Solanum lycopersicum: one gene and its partners. The protein of the gene in region 1 binds, or shares a complex with, the protein of each later gene. Links are inferred from orthologs where the notes say so. Each region holds a gene or a part of one and is shown in the gene's direction. Other genes may lie near its edges. The genes, in order: small ribosomal subunit protein uS10c, small ribosomal subunit protein bS6c alpha, 30S ribosomal protein S13, small ribosomal subunit protein cS23, small ribosomal subunit protein bTHXc and small ribosomal subunit protein cS23-like.

Evidence for each region.
Region 2: small ribosomal subunit protein uS10c (region 1) and small ribosomal subunit protein bS6c alpha share a complex: the UniProt entries of both Arabidopsis thaliana proteins name them as parts of the 30S ribosomal subunit. The link is inferred for Solanum lycopersicum from reciprocal best matches to the Arabidopsis thaliana genes AT3G13120 and AT1G64510.
Region 3: small ribosomal subunit protein uS10c (region 1) and 30S ribosomal protein S13 share a complex: the UniProt entries of both Arabidopsis thaliana proteins name them as parts of the 30S ribosomal subunit. The link is inferred for Solanum lycopersicum from reciprocal best matches to the Arabidopsis thaliana genes AT3G13120 and EMB3137.
Region 4: small ribosomal subunit protein uS10c (region 1) and small ribosomal subunit protein cS23 share a complex: the UniProt entries of both Arabidopsis thaliana proteins name them as parts of the 30S ribosomal subunit. The link is inferred for Solanum lycopersicum from reciprocal best matches to the Arabidopsis thaliana genes AT3G13120 and PSRP3/1.
Region 5: small ribosomal subunit protein uS10c (region 1) and small ribosomal subunit protein bTHXc share a complex: the UniProt entries of both Arabidopsis thaliana proteins name them as parts of the 30S ribosomal subunit. The link is inferred for Solanum lycopersicum from reciprocal best matches to the Arabidopsis thaliana genes AT3G13120 and PSRP4.
Region 6: small ribosomal subunit protein uS10c (region 1) and small ribosomal subunit protein cS23-like share a complex: the UniProt entries of both Arabidopsis thaliana proteins name them as parts of the 30S ribosomal subunit. The link is inferred for Solanum lycopersicum from reciprocal best matches to the Arabidopsis thaliana genes AT3G13120 and PSRP3/2.

What each region holds. Positions count from the first base shown.
Region 1 is NC_090809.1:1,050,946-1,055,024, forward strand, and holds the start of small ribosomal subunit protein uS10c, read left to right. Parts: upstream 1-1,279; 5' UTR 1,280-1,447; coding exon 1,448-1,654; intron 1,655-1,919; coding exon 1,920-1,967; intron 1,968-4,079.
Region 2 is NC_090807.1:67,612,550-67,616,512, reverse strand, and holds the start of small ribosomal subunit protein bS6c alpha, read left to right. Parts: upstream 1-1,163; 5' UTR 1,164-1,278; coding exon 1,279-1,629; intron 1,630-3,542; coding exon 3,543-3,782; 3' UTR 3,783-3,963. UniProt on the Arabidopsis thaliana protein: Binds together with bS18 to 16S ribosomal RNA.
Region 3 is NC_090804.1:939,423-943,070, forward strand, and holds 30S ribosomal protein S13, read left to right. Parts: upstream 1-1,451; 5' UTR 1,452-1,530; coding exon 1,531-1,644; intron 1,645-2,031; coding exon 2,032-2,256; intron 2,257-2,870; coding exon 2,871-3,038; 3' UTR 3,039-3,148; downstream 3,149-3,648. UniProt on the Arabidopsis thaliana protein: Located at the top of the head of the 30S subunit, it contacts several helices of the 16S rRNA.
Region 4 is NC_090804.1:4,043,275-4,046,712, reverse strand, and holds small ribosomal subunit protein cS23, read left to right. Parts: upstream 1-1,203; 5' UTR 1,204-1,290; coding exon 1,291-1,512; intron 1,513-2,539; coding exon 2,540-2,821; 3' UTR 2,822-2,938; downstream 2,939-3,438. Other genes in the region: homologous-pairing protein 2 homolog, read left to right, coding at 3,404-3,431. UniProt on the Arabidopsis thaliana protein: Component of the chloroplast ribosome (chloro-ribosome), a dedicated translation machinery responsible for the synthesis of chloroplast genome-encoded proteins, including proteins of the transcription and translation machinery and components of the photosynthetic apparatus.
Region 5 is NC_090804.1:66,172,055-66,175,569, forward strand, and holds small ribosomal subunit protein bTHXc, read left to right. Parts: upstream 1-1,303; 5' UTR 1,304-1,526; coding exon 1,527-1,704; intron 1,705-1,806; coding exon 1,807-1,871; intron 1,872-2,761; coding exon 2,762-2,884; 3' UTR 2,885-3,015; downstream 3,016-3,515. Other genes in the region: uncharacterized protein, read left to right, coding at 1-77.
Region 6 is NC_090802.1:7,166,588-7,170,524, forward strand, and holds small ribosomal subunit protein cS23-like, read left to right. Parts: upstream 1-1,137; 5' UTR 1,138-1,244; coding exon 1,245-1,493; intron 1,494-3,085; coding exon 3,086-3,367; 3' UTR 3,368-3,573; downstream 3,574-3,937. UniProt on the Arabidopsis thaliana protein: Component of the chloroplast ribosome (chloro-ribosome), a dedicated translation machinery responsible for the synthesis of chloroplast genome-encoded proteins, including proteins of the transcription and translation machinery and components of the photosynthetic apparatus.

The sequences.
Region 1 (4,079 bases):
ATTTAGAATAGTTGATAGATAGACGTAATACTACAATCCCATTTTTGTGTAGCCAAAATATTTGTGCCAGTTGAGAATAGTTGATCCTCTAACAACATGCCTGCATTCTTTTTCTCTTTGGTAATAATTAAGAATGTCAATGTTTGTGGGAGCAGCTGGTTGATTCAGTATGTATTATTCTCTGAATTTCAAGACATTAAGATTGCATCATATGATTCATAAGATTTACTTATATGGAATATTGACCACTATGGTTTTCTTTTCTACCGGTAAGAGTGCAATACATGGTGTGTGGGTTACGTGCATGTGAGGTTCCGAAAGCCTGCTTGATATTTAAGTGGAGAAGAGTATGAGTAGATGGGTAGAATACCTGGTGTGTGGGTTACGTGCACGTGAGGGTTCCAAGTTATTGCGGATGGAAGCCTACTTGATATTTAAGTGGAGAAGAGTATGAGTATGAGTAGATGGGTAGAATACATGGTGTGTGGGTTACGTGCATGTGAGGGTTTCAAGTTATTGCGGATGCAGCCTACTTGATATTTAAGTGGAGAAGAGTACGAGTAAATGGGTAGAATACATGGTGTGTGGGTTACGTGCATGTGAGGGTTCTAAGTTTTTGCGGATGAAAGCCTACTTGATATTTAAGTGGAGAAGAGTATGAGTAGATGGGTTGATTCATTATTTATCGAGTTTTTAATTGTCGTCATTTGAAGTATGAGGTTGTCCTTTCTCCTACTCAGAGAGACAATTCACTAGCGTTTTGGTGATAAAGAGTTTGAAATTTTAACTTCAAATATCTGCTTAGCCGTGAAATTTGATTAGATTTATTTTATCTTCAAATATTTCTCACGTTCCTAAAATTGATTAAGACTAGTTTTTAGGACATACTCACAAAACTTCAAATTTTCAATTTGATGAATAGCTATTTATGTCAATTTTTCCAAAATAACACAAGAATATTTTTCTTTCGGAGATAGCGATACTTTGAAGTTTGATTATCAAAAACATAATACGTAAATAAACACTTAAATTTATAAGTAAGCAGTTCAATTTTTGAGTATGTACATCTAGACACTTAATAATTGAATACTCCAACTCAAGTCACATAAATATTTATTTATGTATTATGTCAATTATCAAACATAACAAAAAAAAATTAGAAATCAAATATAAATATCTATTTATGTATTATATCAATTATCAAACGTAACAAAAAAAAAATTAGAAAATTAATTCAAATGTTGTCCAAATACTAGGTAAATATTTGGGCCTAAGAAGCAATAAAAAAAGGGAAAATACATAATAAGGATAAGCCTTGTACAGAAAATTGTATAGTTATTTCTCTTCTTCGGATAAGCTTTAAAACACAGAAAAATTGAAGAAGCTCCTAAGGAGGAGAGCTCCAATCTCCATTAGAGACCAAATTCGAACTTTAGTGAATACCCAAATGGCGATTTCATCGTCTTCACTCTCAGCAGCTCTTTTTCCAATGTGTAATTCATCTTCCATTTCTGCACAACCCAAGTTTTCTCTTCTGTCTTTGCATTCAAATTCTGTTAAGTTACAAGTTTTCAACCAATCTCGAGTGTCTACAACTAAGGTTTTTGCTTCTCCTGAAGTTTTGGATGCCCAGAATGTTGAAGCTGATGTTGAGGTTTGTTAATTATTTGGGCTATTTTCAGTAGACTATACTGTGTGGTTAACATTAAAAAAAATGCTTTTTTTTTGCTGAATTATTGTTGGGTATTCGTCTTTCTACTGAATTGTTGCTGGGTATTCCTCATTTTACTGTATTGTTGCTGGGTATTCGTCTTTTTACTGAATTGTTGCTGGGTATTCGTCTTTTACTGAATTGTTGCTGGTTGTTCCTCATTTTGCTGAATCGATGTTGAGTATTTGTCATTTTGCTTTATTTATAGGATATTCTAGCTGCTTCAACGCTGAGTATTGGTGGTGACTCTGACAAGGTAAACTTTTTCTCTTCCAGTCCTTTAATTTTTTAATTACTAACTGTGGTGTCTGGACCAACTTGCCCGCACTTGGTACCTCTGGGAAGCACTGGTATCAGGTAACTCTGTCTACCGACAAAGGCGAATGTAGCCTCATAGAGCCAACTACTATGATGTTGAGTATAAATATAAAGTTTGTAGAGGTTCACTGAGACTACAACAATTAGTAGGTCTTAATCCATAACTTTTAAAATATTGTAGATTCGATGCTAAAACCCATAGAGTTCAAATTCTGAATCCACCTATATATACCAAGGTTTGAATAGATGGAAAAAATCAACTAGTGCATTTGCCTATCCTAAATTAGTTGAGTTTGCGTATAAGGAATCTTGTGTACACATTCACCATTATTGAGGTGGGGTGGAGATGGTTCAGTGAAAGTAGACTATTTTAGTGAATCTATCTCAATCTGTAACCTTTATTCGCTTGGGACACCGCTGTGCTTTTTGTGAAGTTCATATAGGCAGTGTTTTTAGGGGGTGATGTTTGATGACTCGTGATTCCTTCTGAGATTTCTGCATTGCTTTATGTTATGTGCATTTTGTTTCTATCTAAGAGAATGTAGTCAAGATTTTGCCAATGTATTATGACTAAGATGTTTCCATTTAAACCGTTTATCTCTCATGTAGAAGTTTACACACTAGACAAGTCTTAGGAATCAACCATTTACTGTTTATACAGTATTGGTGTTTGTAACTGATCACTCAAGCTTATTTTTGTTTGTGTTGGTGTGAACACATCTTTTTTTTTGAATTTTATGCTGCAGCCTTAATTGAGATGGATACTTCTTTTTTGTTGGTAACAGTTATGAAATAGGATAGAGCTGTATGTTTGTCCATAGTCTTAATGAAATATTTGTTGTTTGTTTTCTTCTTTGGCTAGTGACTTTAAAATGTATTAGAATGATAACATTCTTTTGCTTGGTGCTGACAAAAGCTAGCCTCATGGCTGGAGGAGAACATGGGGACATGAAAAAAAGAATAGTTGTGACATGCAGATTATCACATCAGAAAACTACTCTATCTATACCACTTAGTGAAGCAACCCTAAAATTCACTTGCAGTGAATTGGAATTTTCTTATAGGGAAATTTGCAATGATGATATAATCTGCTCAACAGCCAGGCAACTTTTGATAAATGAGCGTACAAAGTTCTTCACTGTTAGATTCCTCAAATTGGTGATTGTGGAACCAATTGGTCTTCCTCAGTTACTGAAAGTCTTAAGTAACCTGGAGCTTTAGTAGTGAATTGATTATCTCTTAGCCGTCTCCTCTAAGTAATTGTGTGCGCTGAATAATTTTCTTCTAAGAATTTTTATTGATGCATCAAGAAGCAAAAGTACAGAAATTTGTCTAATGGATAAAGCATGCACGAGCTACATCTAATGCTTTTCGGACCTTTCACTACTGTGTTGGGATGCTTCATTATTATAGTAACAAGGTCATTAATATTACTCCTAGTGTACAATCCTCTTCAAGGATAAATTTGAGTTGTATTTCTCTCTGGCTACTAAGTAACATTGATCGGAAAATATTATTGGTTGAAATGTTCACTTCTATCAAGACTACTTTCATAAAGGTTTGATTAAAGCGATTTTTTGGTTCACTTATTTGCTTGATAGTAATTGTGTTCAGCTATGAATTCTAAAAGAAAATCTTTGAATCATTTCTAGAAGTCCATGTAAGCTGAAAAAATATTAGAATTATAGTGAAACTGGAAGGTGGTGGGTTGCACAGGAGTATGCTGTTTTTAATGAAACTGGAAAGGTCATTGCAGATTCCGCCTTTAACTCTCACTTAGTTATGAATTTTACGAACAGGCTTCCCTCAGTTTATAAGTTTTATCTGTGGGAGTCCCTGCAAAAATATTATTTCAAAGTTAGGATGGACTTGGAAAAGTTATTGTTCGATATGCAAGAGGTGTAAGCACCATGAGGTGTGAAGTGATCTCGGGCTTCTCCTTCCAGCTCTTGGATACTTATTCAGTACGAGTTAAATCTATGAACTTCGCTGAGAAGCGTCCAGTGGCTGTTCTAATTCAGCATTAAGCTCATCGTGGCTGTGTAGTATC
Region 2 (3,963 bases), on another chromosome or scaffold:
TATATCGACTGCCAGTTTCTAAGCTTGTTAAAGATGTGCCAGCCTAGAACTTGTATACCCCCTTCACAGAATAGCTAAGTGGACGGAAATGCTAAATATTTGATCTTCAGTGTGACAAGTTCGAATCATAATGGCCTCTTGGCTACTCTTGCTCAGTTTTTTCGCTCTTTTACTTCTACCTATTAACCATGTGTAGGAGAAAGAACCCGTTTTTTGTAGATACTGATGTAAGACCTATTACTAGTATAGATATAGATAGTAGTTCTGAATACTGAATGCTTCTAGGAGAGTGATGAGGGGTCAAAAGAGACTGGATTTTGATCTTTCTAGCAACAAAAAACAGCATACCCAGTGTGATCCCATCAGGTTTGGGGAGGGTGATGTGTATGCATGCCTTGTGAAGGATACACCTTGCTGCTCATGTAAATTCTTCTAACCCAGTAAACTATTACCCTGTTTTGGGTGTTGGGCTCATGTCATAACTCATAAGCCAATATCTTTGTTTTGTGGATATATACTTAATATATACACCTGCTTCCACTTCTATTGCAAACTTCCAATTATCCTTTTTATCTTCTATTTTCATAAATGGAAGATCCAATTGATATATTCAATTAGTCATTCGTCAAGTACATTGCCAACAACATAATCATGTACAAGATCACAATTCTCGATTCAACAAACATAACTCGAACAATGCAATTTGATTTAACATATAGAAAGTGCTATGTTTTTGTTATGCTAAATACATTACAATAGATTCTTTGTTCATTAGGAGATCTTCACCAAATTATTTATTCAAAACTTTGCTTACTTCTACCTCCTTATACTATAGTTAAGAGGGAACACAAACTGCCAATAAATAAATAAATATGGCCTCTTATAGTCACTTTAACTTGGTTAATTTTGATTTTGATCCTTATAATATCGAACTAAACACATTTAATCTTGAATTGATTAATTCTTTTAAAGAGGATTAAAGTATTTTTAGACGAATATTACCGTAAAACATGAAATACCAATACAATTTCATATTATATGAAAATTAAGTGATAGAACAATTAACCATCACTTTCAATTAATTAAAAATAAATCAAATTTAATCCATGACTTAAATTTTGCAAGAAAAAAATAAAAAGAAAGGAGTAAAGTAGCATTTACAAGTCTTGAGGGTATCTAAACAAAAAAAAAGCAATAAATTTCACTTGTACAATTTTACCAACTCAGAACTGAAAATTGTGAATTTCCTCTTTCTTATCCACTTTATCTCCCTCAAGAATGGCGTCTTCTTCTTCTTCTCCATCAGTACTTCCATCTCTTACCTCCACTCTCTCTTCTTCTAAACCTTCAATACCCTTCAACTTCAAAGGTTTCACCAAAAGGGTCAACAATTCTGGGCAAATCTTGAAAGCCCAAACTCTAGAATTTTCGGGCTCGTTTTTCGAGGGTGGATTTGGAGGAGGAAATGCTGATGAACCACCGACTACACCATGGTCGGGTATTTCTGCAGTTGAAGATAAAGAGGAACCGCAGTGTCCACCTGGGTTACGCCCTTATGAAACAATGGTGGTATTGAGACCTGATATGTCTGAAGATGAAAGACTTGCTCTTACCCAGAAATACGAAGAGGTAACAATGATTGTTTTTGTTTTTGGAAACTGATATAACTTGCAAGGTGCTAAGCTCAATTTGGGTGGATTCTAAGTTTTCAATTGCTGATTTGACTGTTTGAGCATTAGAGTTGAAGTTGAGAGTTCTAAAGATTGAATTTTTGAAACTAATATACTGTTTCTTTCCATTTTGTTTGGCGCATTTTGCTTATTTAGGGTCAATTTGATTGACTTTTGGAGATAAATTGAACTAGACTAATTCCTTTTGTATGAGAAAGTATTATAATTCTCTTAGTATCCCGAGTGTTCTCCGGAAACAGCCTCTTTACCTCCAATATATAGGTGTATGGTCTGCGTATACTCTACCCACAGACCCCTCTTGTGATGTTTCACTGTTTTTTTGTTGTTGTTATTGTAATTTTCTTAGTATCTATGCTGAAGGCAAAGAATAAATTTTTAATATGTTTGTCATAGTTCATGAATGAGAAGTGAAGGTTGCCACACATTAGGACTGAAGGAGTAAGTATTTTTATCAGAAGTTGAGCTGCATATAGTATCATTTGATACTCTTCAGCTGATTTCATTGTGAACTGGGAAATGAAGATAATTATACTCATTTGAAACAGGGAGATCATTTAGGAAACAGAACAAGTGATTGATATTTGGTTTGACATGATGAGAATTTCTTCCATTCCCCTCTCTTGGCTAAAAAAACTGTTTTTTTTCTTTCTTTGTCTGCTAAGAGGCGGAAACCTGAAAGCAAAAGCAATATCGACCTTGCAATTTATTTAAGCACAAGATTGTCCAAGAATATTCTTCCTTTTTGTTTTTTTGTCTACTCACTAGAAGGCCATTCTTTGGAAAAATCAGATATTTGAACCTAACAACAGTCAACAGTGTTTGGGTGCATAATTCAACATTTTGTTATAATTTAAGCTGACATGGACATGATCTAAGTAAGAAGAAAGTTAGTCTCAGCTTCTGCTACAATTTTCATTCTTCTTGTTCCCATGTAAGAGCTTTCATTTTTAATCTTGTTCTTTTTCTCTATCTGCTTTTCGAGTCCAAAAGCCTTGGTCTGATGACTATTATCACCTTATCATTCTTCTTTGTGAACATGGATGATCATTGTATTTTTGTTTGCCCATCTCATTTTTGATGTTATAGTCGACGTCTATAAGAAAAATAGGCTTGCAAAGCTGCGGAGGACAATAATAGAAGTACTTAAAGTTGATGAAACTCTATTTTCTACATGACCCGTTTACTACTGTATTTCCGTTTCTTACTGATTGTTGTTTTGTTTCACTTGAGCCGAGGGTCTATTTGGAATAGCTCTATACCTTTACTAGGTAGGGGCAAGGCTGCGTACCCACCAACATCCCCATATCCCGCATGTGGGATTGCACTGAGTATGAAAGGACTTAAAGTTGATTAAACTATCTGTCATCTTTCACCTACAAATGATTGGGGAAACTTTCACTTAGTTAAATCCCTGATAAGCTTGAAGAGAGAAAAAAGTTAAGCATCAGCACACGTGTCTTTGTTCTATGTTTGTTCCAACATTTACTGCGTTTCAGCTTTTGCCTAACAGGTCAATCAAATAGACACACTTGTAAGTGCCAATGTTTCCCATGTTTTGTGTTTCTCTTTGTCAGATACTCCGTCTAACCAACCAAAGAAACTCTCTTCAACATGGTATCGGATCAGGCTCTCATTGCCACACATTATCAAAAAAGGATTTACACAAGTCCACACGTGAAGGGAAATATTAAAATTATACTTGACCATCTCATCTAAAAGTACATAATAGACTTATAGTAACTCTGTTATGGATTGAACAGTTCTAACTAATATTGTCTCCGATCAATTTCAGTTGTACATGCTATTTGACGATGCAAGTTATAATCTTTTGTTTTTCTTTCTCTTGGGCAGTTGCTGGTTGCTGGTGGTGGTATGTATGTGGAAGTCTTCAACCGAGGGGTTATTCCACTTGCATACAGCATTAGGAGGAAAAACAAAGCTGGAGAGACAAATACGTACTTGGACGGTATCTACCTCCTGTTCACTTATTTTACTAAACCTGAATCCATTGTAGCTCTTGAGGCAACATTGGTAGCTGATGATGATGTTATCCGGTCGTCCACTTTCAAGATTAGGAAAAGAAAATACTAGTTTGGTTGGTTAGTTTAATTTGTGTATCTGTTCAGTTGTAAAAGACGATAACAGAGAGCAGGCAAGTTTTCCTCATCGCGCCTTTCAGATGTTTAAGTCATGACAGTCCTTTTCACAGCAAAACAGTATCAATTTGTAACATTCTTTTATATTACTGAAAGTTGCCATTACATTCTGCTCA
Region 3 (3,648 bases), on another chromosome or scaffold:
TTATTCAAGAGTGACGTTCCTAACAAAATTTTCTTGATACCTAGGGCTTGAACTTGCAATTAATTAGAGCCCCGACAAATTCTGATCGCGGCGCATTGTGGACTCATTCAAGAGTGGCACTCCCAGCAAAACTTTCCTCATACCTAAGATTTTAAACGTGAAACATCTGATTAAGGGTGACACAATTTCATCATTACGCCACAATTTATATTTAAAAATAAATTAAATTTAATGATTTAATAAAGTAGAAATACATGTTAATTAATCATAAATTAAAATTATTGTGTATGTTTCAATACATATACATATTATGCATTTATTTATTTGCGATAAACATCTAATATGGATAAATTTTAATTTTTTCAATGGGTGGCAATTAAGTTGCTATTTATAATGCCGCATAAACAGTTATTAGTTATTGCTAGCAAATTCGTAGGATTTTGCAATTGGAAGGTGTTTTATTTTTAGGAATTTATAAAGTAAATTACTCACAACTCATAAGAATCGTTTGAAGTACCCATTAAGATGTAATTTATAGGATTAGTAAGTCATGAAATTTATTAGTTATAATCTTATAATATTAAAATTACTAAATTAATGGAGTATTAAAATTTATAAAATTCTTTACTTTAAAAATAGGTTCTCTCTAATTTTCTCTAAAATATTCTTCTTGTTCTTGCTTTATTATTTTATAACCACTTCTAATCTTATGTTGTTTATAAGAATTTTTTATTGTTGCCCATGAGAGATCTTTATTTTTATGCCTACAAAATTTTAAAAGATCAATTTTCTTTTTATTCAATTGGTAAGTGATCATGTAAATTTATTTTCAACTCGCATTTCTATCGCCCCAAATTTAGGTTAGGCCTTAGATAAAAAGAGCGATATCAGAAATGAAATGTAGAGATTTCTTTGTAAAGCTAATATTTTCTTCATTTCAATTAGATGTAATACGAAGGCTACAATTACATGTTACAACCAAAACATAATATGAAATTTCAGATGTAAAATAGAAGTAATGTGACGTGTAAAATGTGTAGAGTACTGATATAATGTCTAGTTATGTTAAATTATTAATAATATTTATAAAGTGCATAGTAATAAATTACTATCGTCTTAATGAGTTATCGATTCATCCAATAACCAAATACTAAAAATTGATACCTAATCAAAAACCCTTTATAGATCCGTTAAAAATCCATTAACTCAATAATTCAATAACCCAATAACATTTTTTTAATAGGTTTATTGATCGATTCGATTTTTCCACATCCTTATTGGGAGGTGACAGTATGATAGACATCGGTGAATTTAGTCGAGTGCATGAAAACTAGCCCGAATACCATATTAATAAAATAAAATTTAAAAAAAAAAAAAAAAGAACAACCGGGGCTCCATATTAGCAAACCAGGTCGAAAAGAAGAACTCCATTCCCTATCCAATTTTCCCCAATAGGATAAGAAAAATAGACCAGCAAAAGGCTCTATCTTCTTCCTTCTTCAATTTCTTCATCAATCAAGATTTTCAACAATGGCGCAAACACTAGCAACTCCTGTACTTCCTTCTCTTTCCCTTATCTGCAACACATCTTCCATCTCCAAGCACAGTTCCCTCTCTTTTTCTACTCCCACATCTTTTCCAAAGGTACACTTCACTCCCTTCTCTTGAAATTTGCAGTAATCAAACATGGAGTTTGCTGAAGTTTACATTTTTTGACCTTTTTCGTGTAGGAATTGGAATGGGGTTTGTCTTTTTTTTTCTCGCAATTTTCTCAGTAACCAAACATGGGTTTTGCTAAAGATTACTTTTTTTTTTACCTGAGTAGGAATTGGAATGAGTTTTTGGATTTTTCGAAATTTTCTCAGTAACCCAACATGAGTTTTTTTTGCTAAAGTTTCCGTTTTTTTGAGGTGGGATTGAATTGAGGTTTGCTTATTTTTCATATTTTTGGACTTTTTTGAGTTGGAATTAAATTGGGTTTTGCTAAATTTTCCATGATTTTGAGTTTGAACTGAAATGAGTTTTGTGTAGACTGCAGGTTTGGTTATAAAGTGTGTGCGTGTGGGAGGAGTGGAAGTTCCAAACAACAAAAGAGTTGAGTTCTCTTTGCAATACATTCATGGAATTGGCCGCACCACTGCACGCCAGATTCTGGTAGACCTTCAAATGGAGAACAAAGTGATGAAAGACATGTCGGAAGAGGAACTTATCACTCTTCGTGAAGAAGTCTCTAAGTACATGATTGAAGGAGACCTTGTGAGTTTCATTGCTCTAATTTGTACTCATTTGTTTTCGTTCCAATGTGCATATCCTTATTGAAACTTATATGCTTAGGTAATTTGATTTCGATATCTAGTTCATGTAACTTTGCTGTGGTTGCTGTTTATTTTAGCTCTATAGTTTAACTTAATGCCATTTGGGGTTCTAAGAAATTTAATTCATTTTGTCTCAAGATAGGAATTGAACCAAAAAAACAATATCTTAAACCAATCTTTGGTCCAACTTTTACATGGAAAGAACCATATTTGAGCTGAAACTGCATTCTACATATCTTGAGATTAAAACCAGAAGATCGAAAAATCTTCTTTACTTTCTTAAACTTTGTGTCAAGTCAAATCCGGACAAACAAATCGAAACAAGGGGAGTTATTGTTAGGTGGGTATGTAGGATCATGGCTTCTATATGCATCACAGCCTTATCCCAAATTAAACAGTTCTTATGGAAATGTATTTCAGAAGAAATCGATAGCTTGTTTAGCAATTGGCAATGTTGATTGAGATTCTTGTGTATAAGGTTGTTTGTTTGATTGATGCTTCGGCTTCCTATTTGAAACGGGAAAATTGATTACATACTTGTGGTGTTGGCATCAGAGGAGATTCAATGCTCTTGCCATTAGGAGGTTGAAGGAGATTCAGTGCTATAGAGGAGTAAGGCACATCCAAGGATTGCCTTGCAGAGGACAACGAACAAAGAACAATTGCCGTACTTTGAAGGGCAAGAAAGTAGCAATTGCAGGGAAGAAGAAGGCACCTCGTTAAATCAAGATCGATTTTTCATTTCTTTTGGTAACTAACTTGTAAAAGTTACACTCTATATTCCTATGGCAAACTGTGCATTTGTTTGTTATAAACAGTTTTTTCCATTGAAATCATTTTTCTACATTTCAAGATAAGAGCTTTTCAAGAAGAATGTTGATGCTTAGGCATAATCTCTTCCTTAAATCTTGTTAAATGTGTTTCATGTGGAGTAATTGCGAATTTACGTTATTCTGATTGGATGATTTGGTTGACAGGAGAAAGGTTTGTTAAGTTACGTTAGGTGTCATAATAATTGTTGATGTAACGACCTATGAAGTGCAGTCCCTATCTATGAGCCTTGGTTTAAGCTTCAAGTTCAGTAATGTGTTTGGGCCAAGTATTTGCATTAATGTGATACCAAAGTTTTACAATTTGAGTCATAGCATTGTTAATGTAATGACTCGTTAGGTCATTTTGAGAATTAACTAAAAGCATAGAGTTTGTGGCACCTTTTTGTCACATGCATGAGCATGAAAGTTAAGTCCCACCCCTTTAGTACTCAAGAAGGTTCACTTTTCTCAGGTTTCTTGAAGACCATGACTTCTGTTTTTCAATAGTGATGATGTTCAGA
Region 4 (3,438 bases), on another chromosome or scaffold:
CGAACCTTCATTTTATCCAGTCCATTTCAATTATGCAATGTACGATATCATCATCAATCTCCGTTCTTCCGGGATACGACACCTCTAGCCCAATATTAGCTCTTAGGAAAAATAAAACCAAGCGTCACATTGATCATAAAAATATACTTTTTTGTGTATGTAAAGGGCAAATTATAAGTATGAATTGAATTAGTGGTTTCTTCAAATTTGCAACTCATTTTGATCACTTCATAATTAATATGACTAATATTAATATTATTATTTTTTTATTATATGATTTTGTCAATATCATAAAATTCAGCTCAAGTAATGTTTTTTCTTCATAAACTTGAATGAGTAGTACGCATGGACATATATATCAAAAGTCGTCTCTTTTACTAATTATGTAGAAAATGACATTGAAAGAAAAATATTTATGATATATGAACTTCATTTTCAATTTTTTTTCAGATCTTATTAAAAAGATGGCTTTTTATTAATACCAATAAGAAAGAATGTAGCTCTAGGACATTCTTAATATGCCCCTCTTTTGTTAATATTAGAGATTTAATTTCACGAATAGTCAAAGAGGCATACATATATCACACTCATCCACATGTTCAAGGCGCAACATCTATCTCAAAAAATGATTTTCTAAAAATAATAATGATAGACGTGTTAAAAAAGTAATGTGAAGTCATTGTCGAGAGAGTTGCTGACTAATGACCTAAAAAAGTACGTAACATTTGAGAAGCACGAACAATCTTCACCCATGAGATACATTCTACTTTTTTTTGAATAATCAGATAATATTGATCAATTTGATTAGGGATGACAAAATTAATCTATAAAAATCTGATACTCATAAGTTTTGTCTACTAAGAATTGTAAACTTGATAAAAGTTGAACATATTAGACTACGACAAAATACTAACCCATCTTATCTCAAATTTATAATCTTCAAACAAATCGATACCACTCGTTTATCAACACAACTTTAACTCTCAAAAAATTGTTCAATCCGCTCGTTTGACATCCCGAATCAACTCAACGTTGCTAAATATACAAAATTAGTAAAGCTATGATAACTAATGATCATATTTCTTTTGGGCCCAAATCCCATAACATGACCAAAGTCCTCACCCATAGGCCTCTTAGCCCAATTTAAACAACTTTCATTTTTTTTCTTCTATTACCTTATCCATTCTATCATTATCTCAAATTCTCTATACACACTCTTTTTAAGGCCACAATTTTCCCACTTCACTTTTTTTCATCACTAGACAAATATTTTTTTTATCTACACAAAAAATGTTATCAATGTCTGTTCAATCTAGCTTGAAAGGCAATTTGAGTATCCCTTCTTTACCTTCACAAAATCCAGGTTATAAATCCTTCAAATCATGTTCTTCATTATCTTTTAACAACAAAGGTTTATCAACAAGAAGAATTCATAAGATTTTTGCTTCAGCAGTTGCAGAAGCAGAATCAGTTGAAGTTGAGACTTCAGAGTCTGTTGTTCAAGAAATTGAGGTAAAAAATCAGCTCTTTAATTTTCAATTAGGTAACTTTTTTCGATAACTTAGTGTCTAGATTAGTTTTTGCGCTACTCAATTAATTTCATGAATGGTAGTGTTACTTCTCACTAGTAAAATTGAGTAATCTTTGTCTGATTTTGACTTGATACGTAATTTAAGAATGTAAATACTCCCTCAATCCATCTTTACTTGGTCATTATATTAAAAATAGTCGTCTAACAATACTTGTCCAATTTGAAAAACATGAAAACCCTTGATATTGAATACTACTATTCAATATATAATACATTTTCCAAAGCATCAAATTTATATTCAAAGGATAATATAGTAATATTTTAGAATCATTTGATATATACGACAAATCTAGAATTTTTAAGTCTTTGAATTCACTTTTACTATGATTATTTAACACGTACTGTGTTGTTCGACTTTTCTAAATATGAAATGGTAGTCCAACAACTTCTTAATGAAAATGAGTAATAACTAGCAAATTTATGAATGTTTTAATTAATAAAAAAAAGGCATAATTGGGGAAATATATTGATCATTTAGCTAAAAACAGAACAAAAATGGAGTTAAATTATAGCATTACCTATAAATATAAGTTATGTTTCGACAAAAACTAGATATATCAATTCGTACCCTCGAGCCCTAAAATTTTAGTGATGATGAATTCAACCTCTAGATCAAACATTTGTGTCATATACTTGCACCCGTACCAAAACAACATAATGTATGTACATATTGACCCAAAAATAACAGATTCAGTTGAACACTTGAACACATTTAACTCATCCTAGCTAGATACGCCTATGACAAAATCCAATCTCTGACTTCCACCCGTGTCAAATACTCAAACTCGTATTGAAACGTCTACATTATTAAAGATGAAAATAAGAAGTTCAGTTGAATGCACATAATTCATTCCAGATACGTACGACTATATAAATAATAAGCCCAAAAAAGGATAGGATATTATGTTTTGATATCTTATAGTGAATTCTTGGATATATTTTTTTCAGAAAGTTGATATGAAGAAAAAGGTAATTGAGAAGCCAAGGCTAGTGCTAAAATTCATATGGATGGAGAAAAATATTGGACTTGGCCTTGATCAAGTTTTACCAGACCATGGAAGTGTACCATTAAGTCCATATTTTTTTTGGCCTAGAAAAGATGCATGGGAAGAGTTGAAAACAACACTAGAGAGTAAGCCATGGATATCACAAAAGCAAATGATTATTTTGCTTAATCAAGCTACTGATATTATCAATTTGTGGCAGCAGAGTGGTGGAAATTTGACCTAATTGTTGTTTTTGGTATTTATTTGTAGACAAATTGTTTCAACTTTCTGTTTTTGTTTTATCTTATTTTTAACTGTACTATAGTTGATGGAGAATACAATTGGAATCATTTTTGTTTCATTTTTTAAATTGTTTAATGTGTTCTGACTGGACGATAAGATAATCAAAATTTGTGAATAATTTAATAAGATAGGTGAAATGAAGATAGTATCAACAAGTTTTATACGCACAAAATTGAAACCATGGCCGATTTTGTTTTCTTTTAATTCAATATATTTTTTAGCGATTGTTCATCTTCCACCGCCCGTTATATTTGGACTTTATTATGAACTAAAAGCCCGTAAAGTCTCTCTAGTTGGGTTGGTTCATCCTAACAAGGCCCATGGGCTCTATGGCAACTCTCACTTGAAACTTGCGATGGAAGAATCCTCTTTTCGTAATTAGTGGCTATACTAAGGGTAAGTTCCCGCGATGTTCAACTACGACATCGTATAAAGGCCTTCGTGCCCAATGTTTCCTGTGAATTCGAAGTACAGAAATTTTGACAGAAGTTTTTTTTCCCGCGCTCTGTGAATTCTCCAATCCATGGCTCCTAAAGCAGATAACACTGAAGGTAACTT
Region 5 (3,515 bases), on another chromosome or scaffold:
ACACGGGTGGCGAGGAAACTTGTTTCCTTCCAAGTAGTACTTCTTCTATCAATAACAAGAAGGGTGAAGAAGTTTAGTCGTAACAGAGAAAAATTGTTCAAGAAATGCATCAAACTAAGGAGAAAAATGGTGAGATTCCCTTATGCTTCTGGTAATTTTAACTACAGAGTGGAGAAGAAGTTCCTCAAGACGTCGATTTAAATCACATATTTGAATAAATACTAACGTGAATGATCGATCTATTGTGTTTTTTTTCTGTAGGGAAATGGCTATATTATTTGTTCTTGATTTTCTGTGTCTAGATTGAGTAGAGTGATTTGCATGGGAGCTGTTCACCACCACCAACAACAACATCTACGGTTCAGTACCAAACAAGTTGAGGTCGACTATATGAATCTGTACTGTCATAGTTCGAGGTCAATTTTGTGGTCGATAATAAGTGAATTGAGTTCTCAAATTTTTGTAGAGTAGGGTATTTCATCTTTTGACTGACTTGTTATTAATATATTTTTGTATTTTTGAGTGAGTTTGGTAAAAAAAAAATTATAATCAATTGGGAATGTCTTGTATGATTAATCATTGTGTTACTTCCTACATTGTATATCAACGTACATTTTTTTCTTTTTTCTTGTCTTTTAAGAAATATTAAAAATATTTATTTTTTTACTAATTTACTGTTATAATTATTTTTCATAAATTCTATTTTTTGTGTCTTTATCTGTTAATAACAAAAGAGGAACTTTACAATATTTATATTTTTAATCAAAAAGAGTCGATTTAAGGTGCAAAATGGAAAAAAATAGAATTAATTTTTTAATTTGACAAGTAATTTTGAATAAATATCTTTGTTAATGTAGACAAGTAGTCTGTCATAGAGGTGTACTATTATCTCATTACTTCTCTTAATTATTATATATGTTAAAATTTCTTTATGTATGTGATGAAATCTAACTATATTTATACTCCCTCCGTCTCATTTTGCAATTTATTTGTCTATTTTCACACATAAAAAAAGATAATTTTTTTTCTTATTATATTCTTATTTAAGCTTCCTGAAAATTTTTAAGTTTTAATTCATCTTTTTCGAAATCATAATTAATAAGGGCAAAATTGTAACTTCACTATTCTAATTATTGCTATATTAATATGTTTGTCATTTCTAAAATGGACAACTAAATAGGAACAGATAGAGTTTGAGATAACACTATTATTCCTTATTTCTCGTTCCAAACAATCCTTTTCAGGTCTCAGTTTATTGCTTGATATACTTTTACATAAAAAATAATTGATCTTCTGATAACTTGAATTCACAATTTTAAAGTTTAAAATGAATGGTATTTACCATCCAAGTAACTCTTAACGTTTTTTTTTTTAAAAAAAAAAAACAAGGAAAAATAAGTGAATTTTACCTTAATTCAGGGGTATTTGAATAAAAAAAAGACAAAGGGCACATTATCTAGAAACAGAATAAGAAGCTATAGAACCACCACAAATAAAATCTCAATTCTATCAGTTGAGCTGCTGCAATGGCGTCGTTGTTAGTTGGTTCAGTTCCTATGAGTACTGTTCAATCCATGGCTTCTCTTTCTCCTAATTTATCATTCTCTCGTTCTCACTCCGTCGCCGGCAGCGTTTCAATTACGGCGGCATCTCCTTCACCATCAATTTCGTTTTCGTCTCTCACTGATTCAAATCTCCCATTGGGTACGAATCACATACCTTTTCGAATTTATTGTTTGTGAAAATTTTGTGATGATTGAAGTTTCAGTTCGAGAAATTGAAATTTTGATTTGATTTCATTTTCAGTTTACTGCGGTAGAGGTGATAAGAAGACGGCGAAAGGCAAGCGGTTCAATCACTCCTTTGGCAATGTGAGTTTGTATATTTTGGTTTATTGCAGGATAAGACCTCCTTAATATGATTTAGTTTCAGATACACCCCTGTATATTTTATAAACAAACACTTACCTCCTCTATATTAGGAGAATCCTACACTAACATTCTAGTTTGATACGTGGAATAAGAATAATAATCTCGAAATAGAATTTGAGATTAAATTTATTGCATATTTGAGTTAAAGGTATTGGCTTAAAATAACGAGTGTATCGAAGATGAATAAATAATTCCATGAGATATTTAATGTATTTATGCCTTTAAATTTTAGAAAAGAGAAGTATGTGTTTTGTTGAAATTGATAAATAAGATATCAACACAAATTACTTAATATGAATAATTTTTTAACTCATATTTGATTAAATGAATGTTAATTCCATATAAAATGATTTATAGATTCACTTGGAATAAGATTATTGGTGCATAAGGTTTTGCATAATTAATGCAGGAGTTTAATGCTTTTAATATTATAGAATTTTATACTGAGATTCAATTGTTCATACATTTAGACGAATTGACCCCTAAAAAGTTTTGAAGTTTATTTTTGATTGCAACCTAGATGCATCTCGACTAATTTTATCAATAGATGGGATAAATTACCTAGTGTTATTTTGTCTCTGATAGAATTTGAACCTGAAACCTCATGATTCTCGACCCTCTTCGTTAACCACCAATGTTGATGATAGATTCAAAATAGTCTGTTAAATATGCTCTAACCAATTTTTAGTACTTTGAAGTTTAGAGTGTTATCATCATACGTTTAACAATTTATGTTCGTTAGATTTGACAGAAATAGTGAAAAAACAACAGTTGTTTCGACATTTTTTGTTGTTATTTTGAACTGATTCCGATGGTATGAATTGGTTTAGGCAAGGCCAAGGAACAAGAAGAAGGGAAGAGGACCACCTAGGGTTGCAGCACCACCAGCAGCACCAAAGAGAGATCCATTTGATGATGGCCAAGTCGTTAAAATTGAAATACATGACCCATAGTTTTCTCGGAGGAGCAATTTCATTTTTATGTAGCTCTAATCTTCTACTACTTTGTTTATTTCATTGAAATATCGATTAAGTTAATCATTTGGACTGAGATTTCTAGTTTGCTTGAAGGGTCTTCGTTTAAATGCTCTTGTGTCCTGTTAAATTATGCATTTTGGTTCTAGCAACCTTCAGTAGACAAGTGGTAATAGTCACTACTTTAGCTATTGAGAAAAGTGAAAAGCTTAGAGAACCCCACATTCCTTATGGGTTGAAAACCACGAGGTTTTAGGTTCATATACTAGCGGAGACAAACACATTAGGAGGTCTTTTTGTAGAGTGTATAAGAATAGTAATATATAGTGTATTACTAATGCTGGGATTAGTTATGTTGGAGCTATTTCCTACCCACTATTTGGTTTGATATATTATCAAGGGCACTTTGGCCTCGAACAAAGAAAGGATCAAAAAATGTCATAGCTAATACATCCTACCAAATGACCCCTAGGTGGTTCTTATTTAGACCTTCGTGGATAGAATTACTCCATATCTGTGCTGGTTGGAGGTAACCTTTACCTCGAAGAATTAGTCAAGATGTGAGTGAGCAAATCCAGTCACAAAAAAACTTCTTTTGTTTGGGTCACCA
Region 6 (3,937 bases), on another chromosome or scaffold:
GTGGCTCTGCCATTGAATACGATACATTATGTGACAATACATAACAATTATTCAAACAAAGTGGAAGACTTCAAAGGATTATTGAACATTTTATCTACAAGTGTATTGTCTCTATGAAGTAGAGAGACCAGCAACAGAATCTAATGGTATATCTCTAAATCTGAACCAATCAATAACATGAAAACTGAATTGGACAACTTACCTGGTGATTGATGTCTCTAACGAAGAAGAAGAAACTCCAATTAGAAGGATATTGAATGAGAAGGAAAAATGAAAAAAATTGAAGTGAATTTAAAGCCAAAAAAGAAAGGGTTATTGAAGATTTACGTGTTTCACGGGTTGACCCGTTTTAAAGGACTGTTTGGTGTGGCTGCTTGTTAGAGTCGCGCTGGCTTTCACGGTTTTCTTTTGGGTTAGTTTACTCCAAAACTACACTTTTTGACCATTTTGTATTTGGCCTCCTCTTTTCTTTTTTTTCCTCTTTATTCGATTCGAGTTAATTATTCTAACATATTTTATGTTATTGCGATTCATAGATGATATTGATATACATTATAATATTATGATATATTGATTTATTTTACGAGTTTTGATCACTTTATCAAAAAAGAAAGACTTCATTTTAAAGGGAGTGAAGGGTATTTAAAAGTGGAGTCGTAAATATTCTAGGTCCCTTCTTAGCCGCTGAATCACTATAATTTCTGGTTTCGTTAAACCTTTTACCATCCATTGTATCACAATCATCTTAAGGATAGAGAACCAAGTTTATTTTTTTCTTTGAATAAAATGTCCAGACATAGAATAATCATTTGAGTAAGCATTGTTGTTACAATATAATCTCATTGTTAGAAATATATCCTATCTAAAATTATCCAAAAATTGTACTCCAATCCACAAATAACATATAATTCAGAAATTTTAGGCTATTGTTGCAATTATATCGGCCTAAATTAGCCTGAAATTAGTCCAAATAATTAAACAATAACCTAAAGTATAGTCCCAACACTAAAGTTTGCTAAGTTAATTTTTGGTGGATATTCGATAGTTTATAAAGTTTAGTATCATGATCCGTCACTTTTAAAGTCGAAATCCGTGATATTAGGCTATCATTTAAATAGATTTACCCAACCCCAAAAAATCCGGGTCGGGTTATATTGTGTCGGATCTTTTTTTCTTATCTAGACTTTGATGAAGAACACAACACAATGACAGAGAAGCTCTGAGTTTCCCCTTAGCTGTTGAAAATGATGTTATCAATGGCTACACAGCTTACTGTGAATTGGGTTCCTGCGTTTTCTTCTCAAAACCAATTTTTTTCACCCAAATTTGTCTTCTTTACAAAGGGGCAGTCTTTTTCTCGACGTTCTAATGTCTCAGCAATCGTACCCAGAAGAAATCTTGGGGGTTTTGCTACTTCAGCTGCGGCTGCCTTGAGTTTTGCTGAAGAAACATCGACCCGTGATTCTATTTCCTCAGATTCTCTTCAAAAAGAGGTAATTTTCACTCTCTGACTTCCCTCTTAGGTGTTGTTTGGTAGAGTGTGTATAAGTATCAGTAATGCTGCGATTATTTCCTATCCATTGTTTGGTTTCTGTTTGTTAACCAACCAACACCTGCACAACTGGCCCTTGTTTTCGGGGGCGAGCTTAGTGCACCAGGCTGTGGACAGTACATGGTCCAGAGGGAGCTTAGTGCATCGCGCTGCCCGTTATAATCCTTTAGTTTTTTGTTGAATTGTGGGAAGTGAACCATCCTCTTAATGTTAAAAGATTTTGCATCCAAGGGTGTGTCTTAATTGTCAATAGAACTAGAATGAAAAAGATTACAATGGAAGACCATGTAATAATCCACCAGAGGCACTATGAAGAATAATATGTAGTTTCTTCCGATTTGGGGATCGCCTGGAAATTGGAATACTAATTTTAAAAAAGAAAAGTTGTAAGCTTAGGAATAATGGGGCAGATTTATTTATAGGAAAAGGGCCAATTTTTCTCTTGAACTATTTGAAATAAGATTACTTTGTTGTCCGTTTCGGTTTTTGGCACAAAAATACCTTTGCCATTAGCTGGCTTGATAAATCACATTCTTACTATGCTATCATCTTTTAAGTTGATCAAAGTGTAAGTTTGTATTCAGTTATATCATAACATTCAATCTCTCCGTACTAGCGTAAAGTAGATATTCGAGTTAACTTTATACTATGGGAACGTTATTAGTATCTTTTTTCAGTTGACAGGAAAAAGGTCTTTCTCGTAAAAGATAGCATTAATTTGTGAAGATTTGCTATCAAGAACAAGTTCTTAATACCTAATCAATATTCATTAATGACCAAGCAAATAAATTTGTTTTCGTTAGGGATGATATATAAAATGTTAAACATGACCAGATGCCTCATTGGTTCCAAAATTTTGTGGGTGATATTGACTTTGTTTAAGGACTGGAGGATAACTTTGTCCCTTTTCCATCTGAGTGGGACAACCGTTAGTGAGTAGGGAAATTTTGAGCCACTTGGCTAACAGCGATGGCATTTTTGTTTCATAAAACGAAATGGAGGACATAATTGTCCTATTTCAAAAATTTAAAAAGCAAAATTGGTCTTTTATCTTTATTTTTATTATGTCTGAAAGGCTGCAACAGATCTCCACGGGTTTGATTAGTTTTCTTTTCCGATTCTTTTTTCTTGAACCAAGTTGATGGATGACGGTTCAAACCAGTGCATCTGTCGTTTTAATACGATGTTGGGTGAATGTCTCATTTAGTTGTTTAACCTGTTAAAAAAAATTGTTTTTATTTATTTTGTTATGTATGCAACACGTCTCCTCGGCTCTGTTTCTTTCTTGGACCAAATTGATGGCTGGTTCTTCGTACCAATGCATCTGTGTACTTTAATACTATGCTGCGTGAATGTCTCAAGACATTTATAAGTTCAATGGTTAGAGACGAACTGCTTTGATTTACATAGTTATGTCTGCAATATCTTTATTTTGGTGTTTGATTCTCATTTTATTTAGTTTTTTAAGAATTTCATAATATTTGCACCATTTTCATTATGGTGTTTGGCTCTTACAATCTGCTGGATGTACAGAAGCTCGGTGTGTTGGTCAAGCCACTGGAGAAACCTAGGCTAGTGTTGAAGTTTATTTGGATGGAGAAGAACATCGGAATTTCACTAGACCAGGTAATTCCTGGTCATGGCACGATTCCGTTGAGCCCCTACTATTTTTGGCCTAGAAAAGATGCTTGGGAGGAACTTAAAGTCATGCTCGAGAGTAAACCATGGATATCCCAGAAACAGGCAATTATTCTTCTTAATCAGGCCACGGATATCATCAATTTGTGGCAACAGAGTGGTGGTGATTTAGCCTAAGCCTTCATAGAACAAGATTTGTCATGCTGCCACTGTTCATCATTTATCTTTAGCAATCATGCCTGTTATGTTGTAACTTTTTTCACTTGAAAGGTCAGTCAAAACTTATTCAATTTGTTTGTTTAGATTTTCCTCTTGTTTCCTTTAGTTTTTGGATCATATTGTAAACTATATATCTTAAAATGTTAGCCTTGGTTCTTCATGAATATTAACATCTAACAGAAACAAAATTAAATTGTACTGATGGTAGGAATTTATCTATGTTGAGTATCGCACGTCGTGGGGATAGTACGCTCATTTGGTCTCTTTATATAGTCTTGGCTAATCCTTCTCCATTTGCTAGGTCCAAGATTCATTTCTCATCAAAGGTATCTAATCCAGACCCATCGCAATTCATCGTTTTCGATGTTGGCCCCATCATATATTGTTAAAGTGTCCCTCATTGGTTGGGATAGGGTCATTTGGTATCCTTATATGGTCTTGGACTATCCCTTTAATGAGTTAAGTTTTGGGGTTGAATTAGGCTAGTGATTTATATTTCTTACCATATAGCTTGGGGTTGAACAACGA